2 linked regions of the Drosophila melanogaster genome follow. Changing the gene in region 1 together with any one later gene gives a genetic interaction. Each region holds a gene or a part of one and is shown in the gene's direction. Other genes may lie near its edges.

Region 1 (5,230 bases):
GGAGTCCCTCTCATTTGAGCCGGGAAAAAGACCAGACCCTCCCTTTCCCTCCCCAGCCACTTTCCAGCTTTGTTGTAACCTCGTGTTGTGCCTGCTTTTTAATCCCGCTTTGTTGTAACGCAGGCCATTTGCTGTTTTTGTTTTGTTTCTGGCGTGGCTAAAACGGATTATGTGACCCAACCCTTTCGATTTCGAGTCTCATTGTATTACATCCTTTTCCCAAAAATGACTAAAAAAGCGTATTGCCTATTTCTGGGGTGGACAGAATGAAACGGGGTCAGCACGTGGCCGCAAACTTGAAATACCATTATGGATCCAATAGGACTGTGAAGAGTTATTAGTGAAACATTTCGAACAAACTATTCCTTTAATTGAAATTTGCCAATTCCCCACTTAAGCATCGCATTTGCATATTTGTATGCTAACCAAACTCTCTGCGACGTCGATCTGTCTGAATCTGAATCCGCATATCTTTCGAGGGCAGCAATAGCGCCACCCCACCCCATTTCCGTTGCCACTAGCAGCGCACCACCCTTTGAAAGGACATCAAAAACCACCCCCTGCCCAAAGTTGCGTTACAATTCCCGAAGTGCAGTGCAGCGTACATAAAACATACAATGAAATCCGATAAAATTTTCTATGTCCTTTATATCCTCATAACATGCCCAACTATAAACCGAGCCAAATTCTTCTCGTGAAAAAGTTGCACACAACGCGATTTCACTGTACCTTACATTGTTCTGTAAACTGGAACAGAGCGTCCGACTGGAAGAGGCGAAGGAAAAAATCAGCACAGGGAACAGGAAGTTCACAAGGATTGGGGGTGTCCGAGGGTGGCTACATATATATGGCGATATATGGCATACAGTATGTGCATACATATACATACATATACACATATATGTATGTATGTACCATACTATGTGGCGTGTCTAGTGGCGCGAATAACGAATACAGGAGCAATGAAGCACACGAACGAAGCGAAACGAAACGAAGGGAAATATTGAAAAAGCCAGAATTGCATTACTTCAAAACTATACCGGCTCTTGGATATGGGTCCTGGGTCTCGGTTCCTTGCTTCTGGCTTTCGCTTCGTAGGGGGTGTACGAGCAATACTGCCAGGAGAAACCACCCTAGCCTTTGGCGTTGGTGGTTGATAGTGCAAAAATAATAATAACGGAAACGGAACCATAAACCCAAAACAGCCCTTACAACGCGACTGATTTGTAAGGATAATGGTCGCATGCATCATAAAACGGTTGACGACCTCGTCGGAAAGAGCCAACATTTTGCAATGATTTCCAATTGCTCCTGCTATCTAGGCCCAATGGGCCGCTAAGTACATATGAAGCATACATAGCTAAATACATATGAAGCATACATACATCGGGTTAACTATAAAACCAATGTGTTCTAGATGAGTTTGTTAATTTTACAAAGTAAGTTAGGGCTGCTCCAGTGGTTTTAAGTTGCTTAACTGGACAAGAGAACTTGGCTCTCTCCCCCATCTATCTCTTGTCTTCGGGAAAGGTAACCTCCATTTTGATCGGTTGAATTTGTATCAAAAAGCATGAAAAACTTTGAATACAGCATAAACCACTGAGAGAGCAGCCGAAAGCCAGGGGTGTATCAAAAGGGGTTCTTAGAAATATTCCACTTTGCAACGATTATAGACTCGTTTCTTATCAGACAAAACTTTCTCCACTTCTACGTGGTATTTACAGAAACAAAACTTAAGGTAAAATGTTAGGTGGCTATATATTAAAGCTATTAAAATATATTAAAGGTTTCCGGAATAACCCCCTATCTCGGCGCGCAGATACGCCCATGTCGCCACTCTTTCGCTCTCTACCTTCCACTCTCGCTCCGAACACCATTGCAACCCCGAGAGAGCTGCTCGAGAGGCAACTATGAGATATGAGAATGAGAGGTTGCTCTATGTGAAAATGGAAACCGAAACCGTCAATGCCTCAATTTCGCATTTCATTATTTCATTTCCACGCCAACCATCGTGCGCCGCGGTCTGAACGCTCCTGCCACAGAAAAAGAAAATAAAAGCAAGGAAAATTCTAATCGAATACCAAATATCGTGCTTGTGTGCTCTTTCCGCAATTGATTTTTTTTAAGTAGTGCATGACAATAACCGTTGAGTTGACTCCAACCGAAGTAACCATAACTGGAAGCTGACAACAGCCATTGGCCGGAATCTCATCTCACACCGAGCGAAATGTAAGAGTATCCCCAGGATATCCACAATTTGTGCAACTGAATGAAAGGCAATGATAACAATATCAATCAACAACTTTGAAACAGTACTTTTTTTTTGCTAATGATCGCGTCGCGCTGCATAATTGTGCAATTTACTCACTTATAATCCGCGTGTCTGCATATATCCATATGTACCTATATCTATTTTTTTGCTAGTGGGTGTGTGATGTGTGTAAGTTGTATACATTCAAACGAATATTAATAGGCAAAACAACAATATGCAATTCGATGGAGGAAAAAGCGAACCTCCCAAAGAGAGTGGCGGAGAGATGGGCGGCGGTTAGTCAGAGTGAGAGGGGGCGGCCAGTGCGGAGATAGTAGATGTGTTCAGATCTACGCCTCTGTGAGCTGTGTATCTGTAAATACTTGCTGCTCAAATTTAAATCTGTGTGTGTATGTGTGTGTGGGCTTGCGTGTGCGGGAGAGAAGAGCGCTGAGTGTTAGAGCGAGAGCCAGTTCCGAAGAGGGCGCAGCTAGCATATCGATTTTATGATTTCATGTGCAAGGAGCATTGTACGCAACAACAAACGGAGGAACACGACCAACTAACCGTTAGAAGTAGCCATTTTTTGAGCGCAGCGGAGAGGGTGGGCGAGTGTGTGTGGGTGGCGGAGTACTTGCAGTCAACAAAACGCCGGTTGCCATAAAAGCAAATGCACGCAGGCATGAATCAGACCCATGTCGTAGTAGCAATATTAAACATAGAGGATTCGCGATTCACAGCAAAGGAGTTTTTTCTCAAAAAACGACAACAATTAGTTTTTTTTTTCCCAGTGGTCGTCTGTGTTTATGCTTGTGTGGAAGAGAGCTCGAAATAGGTAGATATATACACGCGTATTTATTTATTATGTGTACATATGTGCTTGTAAAAACAATATCAGCCATACAAAGTTTGAGTCCCCTCCGCCCACCTCCTAACAACAACATCGATATCTAAATCGGTGCAGGTAAAGAGCGGTTGCTACAGGCCCAAATAACCTCTCTTCAGTAGAATTTTACCAACATCTCAAAGTATTCTCGCTGCGCCACATGTATGCGTATCTGCACGCAGATATATTTTTTGTATCGCCTGTGAAATATGAATTCAATGCTTTGGATGGGGTAAAATCGATAATATCGATTGGCGATAACAATCGCACGCACACACACAGGCCCGCAAACACGAACAACTAAAACTACAACAACAACCACCAAACCCATCGAATTTACCGCTTATAGTTTTGTTTTATTTTTGTTTTTGTCCACATCAGACGGCGACGCCAGCGTTTATTTATTAAAAACGATTACATTACAACAAACACCAAAGTCCTGGACAACCGAAGAGAGTGTGGGAGAAAATCGAAGCAGAGAGCAAGGAGGAGCGCCGTGAGAGCGCGCGCGCAAGGATTTGAGATTGCAAAGAGAACTTAGCAATTAGTTCGCTTTGTTTGTCCAGCCAAACAACAACAACAACCAACCAGCTCCCCAAAACCAACTACACACATACTCGCTCCCTAAACTAAAACAAGTGAGTATTGAAAGACGACGGGCCGAGCTGACGAGATCGCAGGACGAAAGAGAGAAAACTTTCGAAGGGTGCGGTGTCGTGTCAAGGCAACACAATCAAACCACTAATGCGGAATATTAAAAAAAAAAATTAATTTAAATCATAAGAGGTTAGCTATATTTGATATATATATGTGTGTATCCATGTACATATGTCTATGTTAGACAAGTAGCTCCTTCTTGCCGTATTGTAGTTCGGGTTATCGTTACCCGCCTCTAATTGGCTTGCCATGACGAAAGTGGGTGGTACAGGACGACGACGTGCGTGCGCGTGACCTTTTGACTCTTCCATAAGCGCCTCAATAAAAGGTGCGAGTCGGTACATACATATGTATGAGAATAGAGGATATTAAAAACTAAGAAAAGCATCCACCAAAGTAAAAACAGTAGCAACTAAAAACTTTTCAGTCTCAGCTAACCAGTCCAAACCAGCTATGTAGTTTTTAGCACGACTTTGGGAGTGTCGAATGCGTTAACTAAAGCTCAAATATATATCGAGACCCGCTGTAGTCCCTATATGCAAATCAAATTGCTACCATTTCCGCAGCGATCGCTTTTCGCGACAGCCCCCTCTCTCTGTCGCACTTAGTTCAGTGAACCAACACATTCGCTGGTTTCGTTCCGAGCAGCATCCTCTGTCTCTCTTGCTCAGCCTCTTCGCCGCCCCCTCTGCCTAAGCCTCTGTTTCTGCTGTCCGCACCCCTTACCAAGGTGTCATGTAAATGGCGGAGCCGGCTTAGGGGGTGGCAATGCCGTGCTTTTAACCCTTATCGGTGGCAAATGGCGCTCGTACATTTGGAGAAAATGCCGTTCTACGTTTCGTTTTGCTTCGTTTCGCCAAGCGAAGTATTACAACTTGTTTGACTAAGGGTGGGTCTACCGTCTATTGCTCATTTATGGTGTTTTGATGCTTTCTCAAGGGGTGCGGGCTGGTTTCTCGCATGTCCTGACCCTCTGGGTCATCCCTCTGTTCACCGCATTACATAACTGGGCGGGGTGCACAGCGCGACACACTCTTATGGAGAGAGCGCTGTAATTTGCGGAAAGGAGACGAGGGGGAGAAGGGACGCAAGAGCAGCTACAGCGCGCAGCAGTGCCAGAAAGTCCTGCGCTCGCCCCAGAAGCATCCTGTTCCTGTGACGCAGCGGATCTGGTCTCGCGTTCGCTCCACTACCTCCACTTCCTACACCTACAGTACACATATCACATGAACTTAAAACTAGTGAACGGATTAATTAAAAAGGAATCGCAAAACAAAAGCTCGCTAATCGCGCAGACACAGCAGAAGCTTAAATTCAGAAAAGTTTAGTTCTTCAGTGCCGAAGGTGTGTTTGCAGAGCTTTGATTTCTAGTGCGCGGGTGTGGGAAGAGAGGACTAAATAGAGACAGAGAGAGCGGCCGGATGAGAAAGTGGGGC
Region 2 (5,100 bases), 240 kb from region 1:
TAGTTGTAAAGTAAAAACAATTAATTTGTCTTATGCTACTCAAAAATTTCCAGTGGTCAATTTCATAATGATATAGAAGAATATTATTGCCAATTGTGAAATAAACGGAAATAGTACACGCCTCGACCCCTTTGACCCAATTCAGTTTTAAGTTGCCAAGCTGGATTAAATACTGAATTCAAGATCACTGCCAGTTTCGATTATGCAGAACCGATAAGGCCAGTTCGTGTAGAATTCCGGAAGAATTGCCGATAAGGAATAAGTAGGGCCAAGTTTCAGATAAATCCAAAGCCACTATGGGGAATTTGATTCGTTTTTTGGCATAAATGTGTTTTTAAAAATGTTTCAATTGTTGAACACTTTTTTCTTAACGGATTAAGATCAAGGCTTAAGTTATGTAACGCAAATGTAAATTAATCAATGTTAAAAACCACGTGCCATCGATGACCTTCTTTTTTAGTGCTTACGAAAATTAATTGAGTTTCAAAAAATTTTTGATATGTGTGTTAGTCAATGTTTTAGAGTGATTAATTACCTACTTAGAACACATACGGTTAACGCGACTTTTGCGAATGCTACTTATTGTGACTTTTCGCGAAGATTACATTTTTAGGTAGCAATCAGCAATGCGGCCCTGATAGAAGTGTACGAAATGCGACTCTGAAAGATTTTTTTATCAATAAAAATGTTAAGAGACTTAAGTTTGTACCGATTGTGGACAATCTAAAACATGGTGTAACTCCAATACATTGGTGGATTAGATAGAATATATTGATTTAAAAAAAAAATTTTATGGGAGTGGGCGGGGCACCCACTTTGCCAAAATAATTCTAAATTCATCGTATCTTAAATAGTTTACGAGATATTAATTTATGCCAATAAAACATGTTAAATTCCCCATAGTGCAAGCGCACTACCAGCCTCATTTCACAGCGATAAGCAACTTGTGGTTTCTTTTTATATAATATGAATTCTTTGGTTTTTACATACGGGCAATCTGTGTTAAAAAAAAACAATTCCTTTTATCACTATATACATCCTAATAATGAATTTTATTGTGTGAGTGCCGACGACGGACATAAAAACCCAACATTTTTGGTGGCAAGCAGTTAGTCGTCTTCGGTCGTTCTAGTTTACCAATCCTTCAGGATTTCATATCCCTAAACTATTTTTTTGTTTTTTATTTTTTGTTAAATTTCCCGCGTGTGAAATACGAAGTTGATTGTATGTCAGTTTTTCATTTGGCCTGGCTAGCTTACTCCTTTTTAAATATTGCTAGCTGCCTTGTGAAGGGCTTACGTGTAATTGCAGTTCGACTCCCGAATAATAAATTTTTCGACTGTTTAAAATTTACCATTATTTTGGGGTATCCTAAAAGTTTTGTTACATTAATAACTACATCTGATTAATTCGTGGATCAAATGTTGTATATTCTTTGTAGCGTTCATAATATAAACCTTTAAAAAAAGCTACTAATAAACTGTCTCTTATCAGATACGGAGATGGTGGAGTGCTAGAGAGAAATTTAAAAACTCTTCTAAAAAATAACAAACTAAATAAATATGAAACTATTATAAATATGTGAGTGTAATAGAGGACGTGGCAAGCCCAGGGAACAAATTTTCCCTGCATAGAAAGACTAAAATCTTTTTGGCACCAGAAAACTTAAATTTCTTATATCAAAAATTATTATTATATTATTATATTTATGGATTATTATATGCTTACTCAAAAATATACAATCAATTTTTCAACTAATATAAGTCCGCTAGGGGGACTTGAATTTAAACTTAAATAGCACAATTAGTGGGACCGCCAATCCTCGTTTCTCCTATGCATTTTAGAGTGACCGCTTTCCTTCGACTGCGATATGTATTGCGTGTACATTATCGACGTCTGAAAAAATCACGCGTGCTGTATATCGATATTTGTCATGTACTAAATACCATTCCTCGGCTAAATTAAATCGCAAAATTGCGTCGAAACTTGGGGAAAAGTGCTGGGACAGGCAGCTGAAAACTAAGCTAACGGAAAAGCATCGTGAGGGAAAACAGCGAAACTTTGCGAGCGGGAAATTTTGGAGCTACAACCTAGAAACGGCAGTGCGCAAATGTAAAATGCACGGAATATTCGCATGTGCAGTGTGATAATAAATAAACGCCAAAGAAAATTTTCGGCGCAGGGGCAAACACACCAATGCACAATAGCGGCGGCGCGTTCGTGTGCGTGCGCCTTTTTTTTCTTTGTGAGTGTGTATGTGTGTTATCATAAAGGAGCTGGAAAAACAACAAAAATACACAGGTGCGTATGTGGGTGTAAACTAGTGGTAGGGGTCAACAAATTTTCCGATTTTCCACTGTGACAGTCTATAATTTATATGTGTATATAGAGATTTGTAGTGGCATAAGTGAATGCCCAAAAGTTTCGGAGTTTCTGAGCTAACGGTTCTTGCTGGCTTGTGTGTGTGTATTAGGTTATCATATATGTGTGCTGGTGTATTTAGCTTGTGTTACCGTTACATCGGCGCCGTAAATGAAAATCCAACTGCGAGTGTCCGTAACTTAACCATGCGCCTCAGCTAAAAGTTAAAACAAAGACAGGAAACTCCGATAGGAAGGATGATGTGTAAAGTAGGGTTGTAGAATAGAAACGCCAAACAGGTATCACTTCCAATTGTGTGCACGACAGCACACGCATTTCCCATTTGCATTGGAAGGTATGCGTGTTTTTGATGCATCTGTGTCTGTGTGATTCTGACGTTTTTGGGGTTGCGAAAAACACCCAAACCACCCCCTAGAGACGAAAAATTTGTAGATACACACATGGATAAACAGAGCGGGATGGCTAGCTCACAGCAACCTTCATTGGGTTTTTCCAGTTCCAATAGTGAAGGACGCCACTGTTATAGGTTGTATTGGGGTGGGCTATAAAAGTACAGTTCCAATTGGAACAGGGCAACGGCCAGCCTACAATTACAGATTATATTTGTTACATCTTTTAAATCTAAGGAATAAGAGTATTTTATTTATTTTATGGCCGATTTAAACACATGCCTAACAAAAATAGTTTCTACTCGAGATGAGTTTAAGATAGTCAAGAACATTTAATAGCTCAAACAAATATAAAAATTTAGACATAACAAGAAGATTACATTTTTGCTGGTATTTTCCTGTTTCCCCGACTATAAACTCCTACGAACTCTTACTGTTGGTTGTATATGTACATACATATGTATATTTCTGTCACTGCATTGCTATGAACAGTGGTGGTCTTTGCGCCGACTCCACTGCCGCGACAACCTTCGCATGCGTAACTTGCCTCTCGTTTGTATTTTCGCTGTTATCATTTCATTTTTGTAGAGCTGTGCTGTCCAGCACAGAAAAAAGAGTATGGTGGGAAATTAAGAGAGGGAGAGAGAGAAACAGCAGTACCAAGAAAATTCGATTGTGGGAAAGGGAAAGTAAAAAAACACGGTGGGGTCAATTCTTTGCAGAACATAACAAATTGTCTTATCATAATTTGGTAATTATTGCGGCTGTTAGTCTTGCATGCTTAAAATTATAAAAAAGTGTCTTAAGGTATTTTTAATTTTCCTATATATGTATAGATAGAATAAACGATACTTCGATGTAAACGGCAGTAACTTTTTGGAGTTTACGGAAGCTGGGGTTAAAGAATTTAAATATTCAAAAATAATGAAATATTCACGAATACTAAAAATTGCCTTAAGAATACATATAAAACGCGAAAGCACACATACGCTTACATTAAATAGTAAATTGAGAAAACACCGAATAAGAAGAATTTATGATCGGATACAACAAGAGTATAATTTCTTTTCTAATATTTTGATCAAATTGAAACCGAAATTATGATGTCAAAAACGGCTTTTACGAGTATACGCTTTGTGCGAAATATAAAAACAAACTAGGATTCTTTTTCCTCAATTTCCCTGTGACTTTTCGACTTCTCGATGCAATTACAACCGAAATATATTGAAGTGTATATATGTATATATATATATATATACTTATGTATATATATGTACAGATGTTAAAACAACGATGCTACACTTTTTTAAATTATTTTTTTTTTTATTATTCCGTACCGAATAATATACCATGTGCAAGACAAAGAATACTCTTGGAAAAGGTGCAAGCATATAACATTAAAACTAAGAGAATAATTTTCGTAGACACGTATAGACGGACGTGGCTTTGTCGCCTGTGGTGTTGACACTGATCAAGAATAGTATACATCGCAAATGCCTTCTTTACAGTGTTGCTAACTTCCGACACAAAGTTTAGTTGCGCTTACTGCAACCTGTGGGCATCACTGTGTAGGCCTTAAATCTTAAAGGACTCTAAAATGGCCTACTTCTATAATTAGAAAGAAAACCTGAAGACTACATCCAACAAACGCAGAGCTTTTTAATTTGGCAATACTTTAGGTTCCTTCACACAATTTCATCACCCACCTTTTTCAGAATCCGGATAAGAATGTATATATGTATGTGTCTTAGGGGGTGAACATATACTCTCTCTACTCTTTTCCCCTTTCTCTCATCATCAGATGCCTATTTTGATTACAATCAAGGTTTAGAAGTGTGCTCACTTTTGCTGGGCCACTTTTCTCGATATATGTGTGGCACGCGCAAGTGGGTCGTGCTCACATCCCCTATAAGGACGTGGGAGTTGGTGGTGTTCCCACTGCATTGTTTCGCGGGGGTGATTGGGTAGTTCGAGTAGTGCATGCGTGGTAGTTTAAAAAAGATCCAAGGAAAATAAATAAAAACACTGCATAAGATAGTTTCATCGTGAGGTGCACCTCGAGCTGGGCGAGTTTGCGTGTGTATTCAGTGCGGTGAAAGGTGTGGGATTTAAGGGGTTGGTTTTTTCGGAGCCCGAATCTCTCCTTATACATTCCTATTAGGGGTGTTGATAACAGCTCATATATCTGAGCTCTTCTGGTTTAAAGTAAGGGAGCTTTAATGGAGACACAGTAGTGCACGTTTAACCGAAGTTATAAGAACATTCAAGTAATAACATTCATAACACATAAATAAAGTGGTATTTTTAATAAAGCCCCTGGACAGAGAAA

What was found.
Region 2: of elav (region 1) and ewg, changing one suppresses a phenotype caused by changing the other (phenotypic suppression), as found in Drosophila melanogaster (one study listed by BioGRID).

What each region holds. Positions count from the first base shown.
Region 1 is NC_004354.4:519,985-525,214, reverse strand, and holds the start of elav (embryonic lethal abnormal vision), read left to right. Parts: upstream 1-1,988; 5' UTR 1,989-2,229; intron 2,230-3,518; 5' UTR 3,519-3,774; coding exon 3,775-3,775; intron 3,776-4,929; exon of another isoform or gene 4,930-5,138; intron 5,139-5,230. UniProt on the Drosophila melanogaster protein: Required for the proper development and maintenance of neurons presumably by affecting RNA metabolism.
Region 2 is NC_004354.4:276,386-281,485, reverse strand, and holds the start of ewg (erect wing), read left to right. Parts: upstream 1-1,851; 5' UTR 1,852-2,301; intron 2,302-5,100. UniProt on the Drosophila melanogaster protein: May function as a positive regulator of transcription in developing and differentiated neurons, regulating common aspects of neuronal differentiation and maintenance. Requirement in the CNS may be higher than in the peripheral system.